Linked DNA regions of Nothobranchius furzeri. The protein of the gene in region 2 purifies or fractionates together with the protein of the main gene of each other region. This does not show direct contact. Links are inferred from orthologs where the notes say so. Each region holds a gene or a part of one and is shown on either strand. Other genes may lie near its edges.

Evidence for each region. Proteins that work in one complex are often made in the same cells at the same time.
Region 1: the proteins of wdr21 (region 2) and cops6 purify together in Homo sapiens (affinity purification with mass spectrometry; 4 studies listed by BioGRID and IntAct, counting the BioPlex papers as one, with this or other methods). This does not show direct contact. The link is inferred for Nothobranchius furzeri from reciprocal best matches to the Homo sapiens genes DCAF4 and COPS6.

What each region holds. Positions count from the first base shown.
Region 1 is NC_091741.1:79,987,571-79,991,773, forward strand, and holds the start of cops6 (COP9 signalosome complex subunit 6), read right to left. Parts: upstream 2,801-4,203; 5' UTR 2,717-2,800; coding exon of another isoform or gene 2,616-2,716; exon of another isoform or gene 2,313-2,615; intron 2,237-2,312; 5' UTR 2,207-2,236; coding exon 2,164-2,206; intron 1,087-2,163; coding exon 961-1,086; intron 793-960; coding exon 661-792; intron 497-660; coding exon 408-496; intron 1-407. Other genes in the region: F-box/LRR-repeat protein 12, read left to right, coding at 2,616-2,716, 2,853-2,928, 3,432-4,203. UniProt on the Homo sapiens protein: Component of the COP9 signalosome complex (CSN), a complex involved in various cellular and developmental processes.
Region 2 is NC_091742.1:25,602,125-25,610,844, forward strand, and holds the start of wdr21 (WD repeat domain 21), read right to left. Parts: upstream 5,046-8,720; 5' UTR 4,879-5,045; coding exon 4,799-4,878; intron 4,718-4,798; coding exon 4,632-4,717; intron 4,396-4,631; coding exon 4,238-4,395; intron 4,099-4,237; coding exon 4,016-4,098; intron 2,876-4,015; coding exon 2,770-2,875; intron 2,650-2,769; coding exon 2,506-2,649; intron 109-2,505; coding exon 59-108; intron 1-58. Other genes in the region: zinc finger protein DPF3, read left to right, coding at 6,260-6,291. UniProt on the Homo sapiens protein: May function as a substrate receptor for CUL4-DDB1 E3 ubiquitin-protein ligase complex.

The sequences.
Region 1 (4,203 bases), on a different chromosome or scaffold from region 2:
CTACTCTTTTTAGTCTATTATCCATTGCACTGCTCCGACTCTACCCTTGGGAATTACTCTTAGCATTTATTTCTTGTTGTTTGTATTGCTTGCTTGTTATATTTTGTCTTGTACAGTGACCTTGAGAGCTTTGAAAGGCGCTTGAAATAAAATGTATTATTATTATTATTGAAATGTTTACAGTGTGGGCTTGAGAGACAACTCATGTCATGATTTTTTGCTATATAGATAAACTGAATAGAACTGAACATAACTCAAGCCACAATTTGAAGGATTTTAAGACAATTTTTGGAAAAAATAAAGTTTCACACTGCTGAACGAGGTCATGTTTGCTTTTATGGTCATTTTTTAACTTTGTCTTTTATCTCCTTCCAGCTAAGATCACACGGACGTCAGAGTGTTTCTACCTGTTTGTGAATGTGGATGTCTGACTGGTCGGGGGGGCCACCTGTGGTGTACCAGCCCAAAAACTCCATTTCTTTGAAGACCTGTTTAACTGAAAGACAAAATGAAAGTTAACAATCATTTTGAAAAAAAAAAAAAGAAGAGGAACTTGATTTACAAAGTTTAAAACTGAACACATTTCATTATTGTCTTATTAAAATCACCCCATAAGAACACTTTACACCTGTCAAACGTGTTATGTTTAAACATGCTTACACTGTTCCTCCTTGGTGTAGTAGTACTCCTTGTCAATGTGCACTTTGTCATCTATGGTGTGAGACATAAGTTCAAAGGAGTTCATCACCTCGATGTTTCTACCCTCCTGTTTTCCGATCAGAGCCCCGATCACTGAAAGGAGAACACATGATGAACAACACTTATTATTATGGCATTAAACGTTACTGCATTTTAATTACAGAGAATCTAAGTCAAAGCTTTGATAACTGCAGGGTTTGTTTCTCCCTGGAAGCAGTTTTTTTTTCTTTAAGAACAAACAGGTGAGAAAGAGACACATACCCTGCATCGGTCGCCCTTCCTGGGAGCGGATGCGTATCCAGTGGTCTGATATGTTGAGGATGACCAGAGGGTGCAAGGCCACAGAAACGCTCCCGGTGACTCCCGAGGCCATGACACTAGGGCCCACTACAGACACGTGGACACAGATGTAAAATAAGCTTTAACTGGACACCAGCAACATGTAACATAAAGCTCTTTACTCGAAAACAAACAAAAACTGTAAAACAAATGACTGGTTTTGGGAAAAAGGAGGTTGCATTTTAACAAACAGCAAATATTTGAAGTTTTATTATGTATAAAAATAATATTTTAACTCCAATAAGGCAGATCCCAAAGAATCCCTCGTATGTCTCATTTATCAGATAATCAGCTGAAGGATGTCTCCACTAAATCAGAAATTGGACTAATTAAATGTAATGCTCTCAATTCTCCTTTTAAAGAGTTGTCTCTGTGGTATGGCGCTAACTGCTGCAGCACTATGGGTGAATCAGTTTTTTTTAGATGCTGAGAAAGTGTCAATCACATTAACCACAGCAATATCATACCCAGATACCAACCCAGACAAACAACAATAAACAAGCAGATGTTTTTGTTTATATGGCCAATGTTTGATGTATTTATTGAACCAAGAAGATCCCACTGAGATTAACAACCTCTTTTTCAAGGGAGACCTGGCCAAGCTAGGCAGCAGCCAGGATAAATATAACTGGTTAGAGTTAGGTTTGCATCATCACACAGAAATAACAAAGCCGAATTGAAATAAACTTAGTAGTGAAGCCATAGGTGGGCGAAAATAAGGGAAGCAACTGAACTGTAGTTTGTTTTTGCCAAAATGACGTGACAGAGCAATGGAAATCAGGTGTACACAACGTCCCTCGTGTGCTCCTCTAATATGCTGTGCTGTAATTTGAACAGAATACATAAAATAGTATTTTCAAAAAACAATTAGTGTATATAAATTTATATTCACACAAGTCATCCAGACTCCAGTCAAAGAACAGAAAAGGAGCGACGGTAACATCCAGAGTCATGACTACAGACTGAGCAGTGCACGTTAACCCACTTATGTCAGCAGCAGCCTTTAATGACACTAAGTCTTAACTTGGGGTCATTCACACCCAAACTGTACAGCATGTAAGGGAATCGTACATCCATCTATGCTGATGTCAGACTTAAATGGTGAAATAAGAAATAAATACTCGCCTGCCCCATCCACTTCCATTCCTCCACCATCGCTGGTCGCCATCTTGTCCGGTGTGTGAGGCAACAGCGCCTCCTGGAGTCACAATATACCATGGTCACACAATTCGGTGCAACATCTATTCAACGCGCAGGCGCAGGAGGGCTGTTCAGCTAACGAACGTTAGGTGGCAACAAACTGCATTTCAGGCTGTTTCAAAACAAGGTGTGGAGCTCGACCTTTGTCAGAAATTTGTCAAGTGTTATCAAAAGAAAGAAAATATCGACGGAGACACAACTATCCGAAGGAATTTATAATATTGTATGTTCTTTAATCCAACGTCTAGGTCATACAGCATCATACAGTCAACGAGTAGCCGTTTCCTGGGGATTACTGATTTGGGCGCAACCCGTGTGCGTCAGGATATTAGTCCGTGTGGAAGCTTTACGAGTTTTTTTTTTTTTTTTTTAACGAAATGGACGAATTTAAAGCCTGTAATCTGGACTACTTTCCCGAGAACATTTTGATAGATGTTTTGTCATACCTGAGCGTCAAAGAGCTTGTCAGAGCTGGAAGGTAAGACCTGTATTCCAGCTGAAATTTTGCTTGTATGCCAAAAACTCAGCGCCAGGCTTTTTCTTTGTTATGACTCATCCGGTGGTGTAAGTGAGTTTGCTCTGTGTTGCTGCCATTGTTTTCCTCTTTTTTTTAGGGTGTGCAAAAGATGGAAACGCCTTGTTAAAGACCAAAGACTGTGGAAAACTGTCGACTTGACCTCATGGAAGGGGGTAAGAATTGTCAGCACACTGTGTGGCTTTAACGTTTTATTTATCTGATGTTTATTCTTTATGAAAATAATCACAATAAAGTAACACCTGCGAGTTACAAACAATGTTGCATTAGGTTTTAGACATAAAATATCTGTTCCAGTAACACCTGTGTCAGAAGGAAGTTATTTTTAATGTTTTGTCTGAATGACTAAATTATACGCTTTTTCATAAATATGTACAGAAACGGTAAACACAAAGTTTTGCGTTTGTAAAGTCACTTGATGGTTTTAGATGCAACACCAAAGTAAAAGAGGAACTTTCTCATGAATAAAATCAACTTATTTACCCATAATGAACCAGTCAGTGATACGTGTGTATTTTAACCTAAAGAAAAATGTGTTTGTTTGCATAGTTATTAACAGTTATTTTCTCCTTTTCCCCATCACACACACACACACACACACACACACACACACACACACACACACACACACACACACACACACTATCCACTGTGTCAGGTGACATCCCGCATCCTTTGGGTCCTGCTGCGTCAGTACCTTGGTTGTGGACTAAGATGCCTTCGCTTGCGAGGTTTGCTGCTGTCAGCCCGAGGCGGCACCTTTCTCTCTGAGTCTTGGCTCAAAGCTTTGTCCACAAGATGTCCCCGTCTGAGTAAGCTCTACCTTCTGCATACAGACCTGAGAAGTCTACCTAACTGCCTGGTTTTCCCTCGAACTTTGAGAGTGCTGGAGCTGCGTGGTTGTGAGTTGCCTCGGGGTTTTTTCAACCAAAGCTCTTCTAATTCAGCCACTCATCCCCCTGGCAAAGCAGAAGCCACTTCTAGTGCTCCTCATCAAGGAAGGGATCAGAAAGGAACAGGGCTTGGCTCTCCTCTGGGAGTTTGTATTGAGAAGTTAATCCTCAACAATGTGCCCTCTTTCACAGACCAGCATCTGCAGAGTCTAACATCGTGGCAGAGGCTAAGTCAACTGGAGTTGCGTGACACTTTTCGTATAACAGCTAATGGGCTTCGAAATTGTGCAGCCAAGGATGGTCTCTCGGGGGTAGAAGGGCTCTCACGGCTGAAATTTCTTGAAATAGGAATTACGGGACGACAAGGATACCAGTTACAGATGGCCTCCCTTGGACTAGGGGCAGGGTGGATTGGACTGGAGGAGCTGAGTCTTGGTGGTAAGGAGGTGGGGCCGGGTTTGCTCTGTGCCAGCCGTCTGAAGGACCTGAAGCATTTGTGCCTTTGGGCCTGCAAGCTCAGTGAGTTGCAGATTGTGC
Region 2 (8,720 bases):
AGCAGAATAATCCAAATGAGAAATTTGAGTTTCAAATGCAGAACGGCTGCAAGGATACAAAACGTGAGAGTCGGGGTAGTTGACGGATGCCCAACAGATGGAGTTCACCTGAAACATATTTAATAATATTAATTAATATTAGGACAACCTATTAATCAAAGATAGAGCTGTTATTTTATGTATCAAGTAAAAAAAACACACATTTAACTAATCTTATGAACCCTTTTTCCACTGGGATTTGATGACAGGAAGTAAAACATGTATTTTTTCCACTTACAGTGATCCCTCGCTACTTTGCGGTTCGTTTATCGCGGATTCACGACTTCGCGGATTCTTTCTTTGGAGCCTTATTCAAGGGAAATTCGCCGATTCGCGGCATTTTTCTATGCGAAATATCAAGAAATTCCTGTTTTTTTTCATCAATTTCATCATAAAATACACTTTTTGTAATAAAACTATAAAAAAACCAAGTAAAATTTTTTTTTCTTGGGTTTTACCCACAAAACGAGAATGTGATAATACGATAATTCAATATAGTACTGTACTGTAAATATGGTGTCCCTACTTCGCAGATTTTCACCTATCGCGGCCAGGTCTGGAACGCATCTACCGCGATAAACGAGGGATCACCTGTATTTCTAATAGGCGCAGAGCTAAATGGATACGAGCAACATGACTGGAATAAGAAAGAGCAGACACTTCCTGTTGAATATGTTCAAAGCAAAGAGGAATTTTTTCAAAAATTTTCCGTTAAAAAACTTTACTTAAAATAAGAGAGAACTATTATGAAAGGGCAAAGTCTCAGACCCCCTCCCCCCCTCCCCCACAGGTTAGATCATGCTGTAGACATCTGGAAATAGGAATTCATCACCTAATATTAAAAAGATCTGTGCATTCCAATATAAAATGTAGAAGATAGCCATTACATAAAGATATACTGAATACATTTAAGAGAGGTAGTCTGGATTGACAAGCTAACGGCTAGTCGAGAGTGAGATTACGAAATGGGTTGTCGTCAATTTAGGACAACTCCCATGTCAAAAATTCAAATAAATTCATGAGAATGTTTCATTAAAATTTACACCGCCGTTAACGCAGCCGTCTGGAGTTTTACCCCTTTCAGGGATTATGAATGATTTTGTAGAAAAATCTAAAAGTGATTGTGACTGTGTTATAATGTAGGCAATACATCTATTTGTTGTTTGCTAAGCCCCCCCCCCCCCCCATCCCATAGAGGCCCATACAATTTGAATTTAGCGCTGCTCGGCATTAGCCAATAGATTTGCTATCGACATCTGCTCACGTACGGATGTCAATCACAGAGTGTGCGCAAGCATTTGCAGAAGTACGTAGACTGATGCAAAGTTGGCAACGTTACTTATCCCTCCCACTGGGTGACCCGGCGAGGAAAGCTAACCATTGAGCAGGACTGATGGGTTTATCCCTTGAGGTCCACGTGGCAGGGGTGACGTGGTGCTCACTCCTCACCCTTGCTAGAGGTGCTAGACGCATCACTTCCAGCCATAATAACGGAAGTCAGGGGAGAAGCATAAGGTGCAATACATTTTTCCACCTCTAGATGGCGCCTTCTGAAATAAAATCCCCCATTTCCGCTATAAACATTGGCTAATCTGGCAGAAAAGTTCCAATATTCCCCCAGGAAGTGCCCCGGGCTGCACCGGAGACAGCTTAGTGAAACTGATGATGCAAGTGTTCCGGTAACTCTTTACAATAATGGTCCCTTTACTGTTGTTACTTACAGGGATGCACCGATATGACGCTGGTATCGGTGCCGATACAGATACTGATACCAGTATCGGTAAAAGTTAACAGATACCAGTAAATAATACCAATGCAGTAGCTTGAAAGTGACTTCACTGTAACTTGTCATTTCTGTTCACCAAATATTTTAGTTTTGTGATCACTTATATTACTTTTTATCTACCTCACAGTCTTTTCCTATTGAAAACAGAAGAAAATAAAACCTGTATCCCAATTCATTGCGTTTTTTTTGTGTGGTAGAAGTATCTGCATCGGTAATCAGTATCGACGAGTACTCAGATCCAAGTATCGGTTTGGAAAAAAGTGGTATCGTTGCATCCCTAGTTACTTAGTGCATTATTAAGCATTAACAGAATAAAGATCCCTTTATTAACAATCTTGATATTGTTAACTATTACGTGTCCTTAAGGGTAGGACAAAGGGCCAGGGTGGGGTGTCTGCTTAGTAATTCATTACTTAAAATTAACATTAATATCAAGAAGCTGTTAATACTTAGTTTATTCATGCTTAATAATGAACTAAGTGACATTATTAAAGGGAGACTTATTGTGAAGTATTACTGGTGTTCCTTCTCCAGTTAATGATCAGCTCTGCCTGAGTTACATGTGAAAAGGAAATTTTTTTTTTTAAGTCCCTTTTTTATTCCATGACGGGTTTAAAAATAATAATAATAAAAAACACAGACGATGCTTTAAAATTCAAATACTGATGATATTCTCCCACCTTGCGGTTGGTGAAGTAGAGGTTATCGCACATTTCCACTGACAAAGAGCCCTGGCTGCTGCTGCTGAAGTTCATGATGCCGTACTTGCAGCCGCCATGAGAGACGTCGTTCACTGTGAACACTCGCTCACACGCCGAGTCTCCCTTAGAACAAAAGGAACATCAGGCAAATTTGAAAAAATTAAACAGAACATTTTAAAGCTAATTCTGATTGGGCAGAAGAGCAGAAAGAGGAGCCATCAGGGTGAAGTTGTGTGCTCTCACCACTATGAGCCTGAAGTTATCAGTGTTAGAGTCGTTGCTGCTGTCCGTGCTCTGAATCTCCAGTTTGTGTCGCCTCATCCCACTGACTTTCACCTCGTGGATGAGCCTGGAAGCAAATGGTAACCATAGTAACACCAAAATAGAAGCGCCTAAGGATCCATCCATTGTCCGAACCCGCGTTGTCCACGTAGGGCCGCGGGGGGGGCAGGTGCCTAGCTCCAGCGGTCAACAGGCAATCAGGCGGGGTACACCCTGGACAGAGAGTCAGTCCATCGCAGGGCAACACAGAGACACACAGGACAATCACACACACTCACACCTAAGGACAATTTGGACAGACCAATCAACCTAACAGTCATGTTATTGGACTGTGGGAGGAAGCCGGAGTACCCGGAGAGAACCCACGCATGCACAGGGAGAACATGCTAACTCCATGCAGAAAGATCGCAGGCCGGGAAGCGAACCCAGGACCTTCTTTCTGCAAGGCAACAGCTCTAACCACTGTGCAGCCCAAGCGCCTAAGGATATGAATGCAAAATGCATAAACATGATGACATTTTCATCTATTTACAGCTGAAGTCAAAAGTTGTTTTGAGTCATCATTAATGGCAAACCCCATTTTACACACACAGAACCGATGAGCTCTGGAGCTAGTCTTAGGCCTAGTCCACACGTAGCCGGGTTTCTTTAAAAACGAATATCCGCCCCTCCAAAAACTTGCATCCACACCACCTCGTTTAAAAAGAAAACTCTGTCCACACGTACCCGAATAAATACGTTGTTAAGGACATGCCAGACCTGTAGGCGGCAGTACTTCCCCCGTTCTTAACCTCGTCCTTCGTCTGTGGTCTTCCGCAAGGAGCAGTAATTCCGCTTGCAAAAGCAAACAAGCAAAAAGCGCTTGGACGATTGGTAAAGCGAGCGCAGCTCTGAGGGCTTCCATGCTGTCGGCTAGTGTAAACACAGGTCGCACACGTGATGTCAGCATTTTTTTGTCGCGGAAAGTGACGTTGCGGACCTTAAAACTCCGGTTTTGTCCGTCCACACGCAGACACCCAAAACGGAGAAAACGCAGATCTTCACTTTGGCCGGAGTTTTTAAAAAGATCCGTTTTCGTGTGGATGACAGGCCAAAATGTAGAAAAATATCTACGTTTTGGCAGATCCCCGGCTACGTGTGGACAGGGCCTAAGTTTCACTGGGTAGTTTACAGCTGTGGGGACAGAAGCACAGAAATGATCCACTACCTGGAATAGGACCTCTCAGGCAGAATCCCGAGATGTCTTTTCTGCAGCAGCAGAGAAGTGTTCAGTCCTGGTTTTGGTGATATCTGTTAAAAAAAAACACACACACACACATTCCTGATTAACTCTCTTCCCTGAAACCCATCCAGGATCCCAAAATATTATGAAATATTCTTTTAATTCTAGCAAGTAAAACAAATATGACAGATCTGAAACTGGATTTACTTTTCTAGGGTTCTCATCTTCTGCCAGCATCTTGTGTCTCTTTTTCTCTCGTTCTTTCTCTCGCAGCTGCTCCATGGTCAGTGGGTTGCAGTTGTTGTGTCCAGGCAGCAGACGGAAGTAGCGGTTCTTCTCCGGGTCAAAGTAGAAACCTGGCAGCTCTGGCAGAACAATAAAGAAGTGATCGTCTTCTTTTTAGGCTACAGACAGTGTATAACTGCTTCAATTACCCCAATTTTCTGAAAATGTCCTTCCTAGAAAAGGAAACGTCCCTTTAAACTTACAAAAATACAACTGTCTGCCTGCTTTAGTGTATTGGGTGGTGAGGTTTTAATGGTTGTGATTTTGTTATGATTAAACACAGGTGAGTGTCCCTGGAATGTAATCTAACACATACCAGGTGCTACACTGCTGGTAGATGAAGATGATGATGACGTACAGGTAGACGCTCTGTGTGATGGTCCAGCATCATTGAGTCCATACCTGTACACAGAACACAACAAAGCTACATAATTCCTGATAGCACACTTTCAGGAACACTATGGATGTTTATATTGTACACACTGTTCGTCGCCAGCAGATCTTTCACGGTCGTTTATGTACCGTCCGTAGCGACGACTTTGTGGCCAGTTTCGTTTCTTCATCCTTTTTTTTTCTTGGCTCCAACAGTGAAGGTTGTCACATCACGCTTTCTGTTCACGACGTGATTACTTGTTAGCTAAGTTAGCAACGTTAGCATTAGAGCTAGCGACACGTTTGCTAATGTAGCTGGACTTCAAAAACGTTGCATACAACAAAGGTTTAAAACAGCAAATTAATCCTAGTGACGATGAACAAACATAATTCAGAATAAAGTACTAATTATGACTTAATTTTTAAACTCTCTTGAGCTACTTGGTTTACGGTAATGCGGCATTCGATGTACCTCGGAAAAAGGAAAATGCTACTTGTACTGACGCGTTCAATGGGCAAGTCGTTCCGTGGGCAAAGTGAGACAAAACTGTTTGTACTTCAGGTTTAATATTTTACTTTATCAAAAGTCATCAAAGTATTTAAGGTTGCTCAATAATTAAGCAGACAAATATGAAAGAGCGAATGCTGACTTACCAACTGTTCACAAACGCAACGTCACGTCATTTTACATAGTCCCGCCTTTCGAACTTATCATTGGTAAATTTTTTCAACAACAATTTTCGGACGTAAGATACGTTCATTGGTTGCTGCATTTAAGATCATGTGGGACATTTGAATTTTCAATCAACAATAAACAAAAATCACTGAAAAGCCGAAACAATTATCAATACGGTAATTATAATTTTGATTTGTCATCCACCATGTTCTACTTTAATACGAAAATCCATATTAATCTGAAAAGTAAGAGAAAATAATATTGAAATTGTATAAATAATAGTTTTACTATATTGTTGCGCTTTTATTGATTTGAAAATAATCTTCAATTAAAGTAACTGAGCATTTATTTTTAACAGCTGAGCACAAGAAACAACTCTGAGCCCGTCACGTGGTTCCAAGAAACAATAATTGTGCGTTGAAGGCTACATTTAATTCCGGTGGACATTAAATGTAGCATACGCGTCCTCTACGAAATGATTAATGATGTTGAACATTAAAAACAAACAAATCACAGAAATTAATAACTTTGATCACGAACTTCGTGATTTATACCCATTGGTAGTATGTAATGTAAATTAGGACAAATAATGCTCAAATGTTCAAACAAAAAGATAAAAAATTGTAGAAATATTAAGAACATCTGGTAATGGCGTACAACTCATAAACTTTTAGACAGCTGTTTTATAACTAAATCTAATTATTTGAGTGGAATGATTCCAGTGCAGAGTATGTTGACATATTTCACTGAAGCCACGCCTCATGTGTTGATGCTTCTGTTGTATTAGAAAGAGCAGAGGACCGCATTGGCTGTCGTTTTTTCCTTTTTTCTTTTTTTTAAGAAGGGTCCCAAACTGCACACAGATTTGGAATATTGCATTACAGTTCTGCAGAAAGATGGCGACTGTCATTCATAATCCATTAAAATCGTAAGTGTATTTCTTTTATCCTTTTTTAAATCTTAGTCGAGCAGCTGCAGACACAACGGTTCCTTTTCCATGTGTTTTTTTAATGATAGGAATCATAAACGCAGCCTTTCATCTGCACTCGGACTGTCTGTTATAATCAGGTATCGCTGCGCGCTGTTGTGCAAAGATCCTCACATAAAAGCATGCACGTTGTAGAAAAAAAGCACACTCTTTAGACATCCAGTCTCGTTGTGCAGTTGGTTTCGCATATGAAGAAAGTTTCACGCAAAAAAGAAGCGACTGGTAAAAGTTTGCATCGGGGAATCCCTAATAGCGATGAAAATTTTGATGCAAATGACATCACAACTGGCGCGCGCACGGGCACTTATTTCAAATGCGTGCACAGTATACTCACAGGAGCAGATTAAAACACGGCCGTGCATGTAGAGGAAATCTGCACCAATATTAAACACATATTGTCAGAAAATGGCAACACAACCATATTGTATGATTTGGAAATCTATAAGTCTTAATTTGCTTTTTCTCCCCTCTAGAAAAGGTTGCCATGTGTCATGTGTCTCAGTGATAGCTCGTGTGTGTGTAAGAATTCTAGGTTTTGTTATAGGAACCGTAATCCAATTCTGCGCCACTTCTTTTAAAACCTTCAGCATGACCTTTCTGGGTAAATGTGTTCCAAATAATACACGTTGTTATCTAAAGCTCTTTGTTGGAAAAAAAGGGAAAAAATGCTTTAAGCTGTTGTTTTCCATCAAAACAGATTAGGATGTAGTGAGTGTACGCGTTAGCTTTTGTTTGCGGTTGTGCCTGTCAAGCAGGAGATTAACAGTGTCCCAGTATTCTCCTGTGGGTCTATCTGTTAAGAGAAAGGCACAAGTTAGGAGCTGATGAAGGAGTACGGATGGGGGTCCCCATCTGTTATTTGTGTGCATCAGATCTAATATTTGCAGAAAAAGATAAGCACTTTTTAAGTCAAAGTATTAAAATACATTTAGAATTGACTTTACATTTTTAAGGGGTATTTTAGCAACTTTAAAGTGTTTTTTTGTTATAAATATATCCGTCTTACTCAATGTAAAAGTCTTCCGAAACAATCTCAGTTTAGAGAAATTACATTCTTCAGGACTGATGTGAGGGTGGCTTGCCAACTCCGGGTCGGGAGAGAGGTCCTACCTCAAGTGGAGGAGTTTAAGTATCTCAGGGTCTTGTTCACGAGTGAGGGTAGGAGGGATCGGGAGATCGACAGGCGGATTGGTTCGGCGTCTGCAGTGATGCGGACGCTGAGCCGATCTGTCGTGGTGAAGAGGGAGCTGAGCCAGAAAGCCAGGCTCTCGATTTACCGGTCCATCTACGTCCCAATCCTCACCTATGGTCATGAGCTTTGGGTAATGACCGAAAGAACGAGATCGCGGATACAAGCGGCCGAAATGAGTTTCCTCCGTAGGGTGGCCGGGCTCAGCCTTAGAGATAGGGTGAGGAGCTCGGACATTCGGGAGGGACTCGGAGTAGAACCGCTGCTCCTCCGGATCGAAAGGAGTCAGTTGAGGTGGTTTGGGCATCTGGTCAGGATGCCTCCTGGACGCCTCCCTGGGGAGGTGTTTCGGGCATGTCCTGCCGGCAGGAGTTCCCCGGGTCGACCCAGGACACGTTGGAGAGGTTAAATCTCCAATCTGGTCCGGGAACGCCTTGGGGTCCTGCCGGAGGAGCTGGTGGAGGTGGCCGGGGAGAGGACGGTCTGGAGCTCCCTAGTTGGGATGCTGCCCCCGCAACCCGGACCTGGATAAGCAGAGGAAGACGATGACGACGAGGATGATGAATCGAGTGGCCCATGGTGGCGGTGAGGTTATGGGCAGGCATATGTTATGGAAAACAAGTACAGGTGCATTTTATTGATGGGATATTGAACACACAGCGATACCGTGATGAGATCCTGAAGCTCAATGTTGCGCAGTTCAACCACGGCCATCAACTCATTTTGCAGCATGATAATGCACGGCTCCGTCTAGCAAGGTTCTGTGCACAGTTCCTGAAAGATGAAAAGATCCCAGTTCTTGCTTGACTGGATGTGCCACCCATCAAGCACATTTGTATACAACCAGTTCTTGACAAAATTTAGCAACCTTGAACAGCTATTGAAGTGGGGTGGACCAACAATTCACAGGCCACATTCAACAACCTGATCAACTCCAACGGAGATGTGTTGAACTGCATGAGGCACATGGTGACTACACCAAATACTGACTGTTTTTTTTATATTGCTTTCTTAAGTAACTGTATTATACAAAATTAACTGTAATGTGATGTTGATAAAATAATGTTGCTCGACTTGCTATAAAATATCAAAGATTGAATCTTGGATATAAAGCAGCAGTGTGTAGTCTCCTGGCGCTAGGGGGCAGTACATACATTTCACGGTAGTTTGACAGCTTATC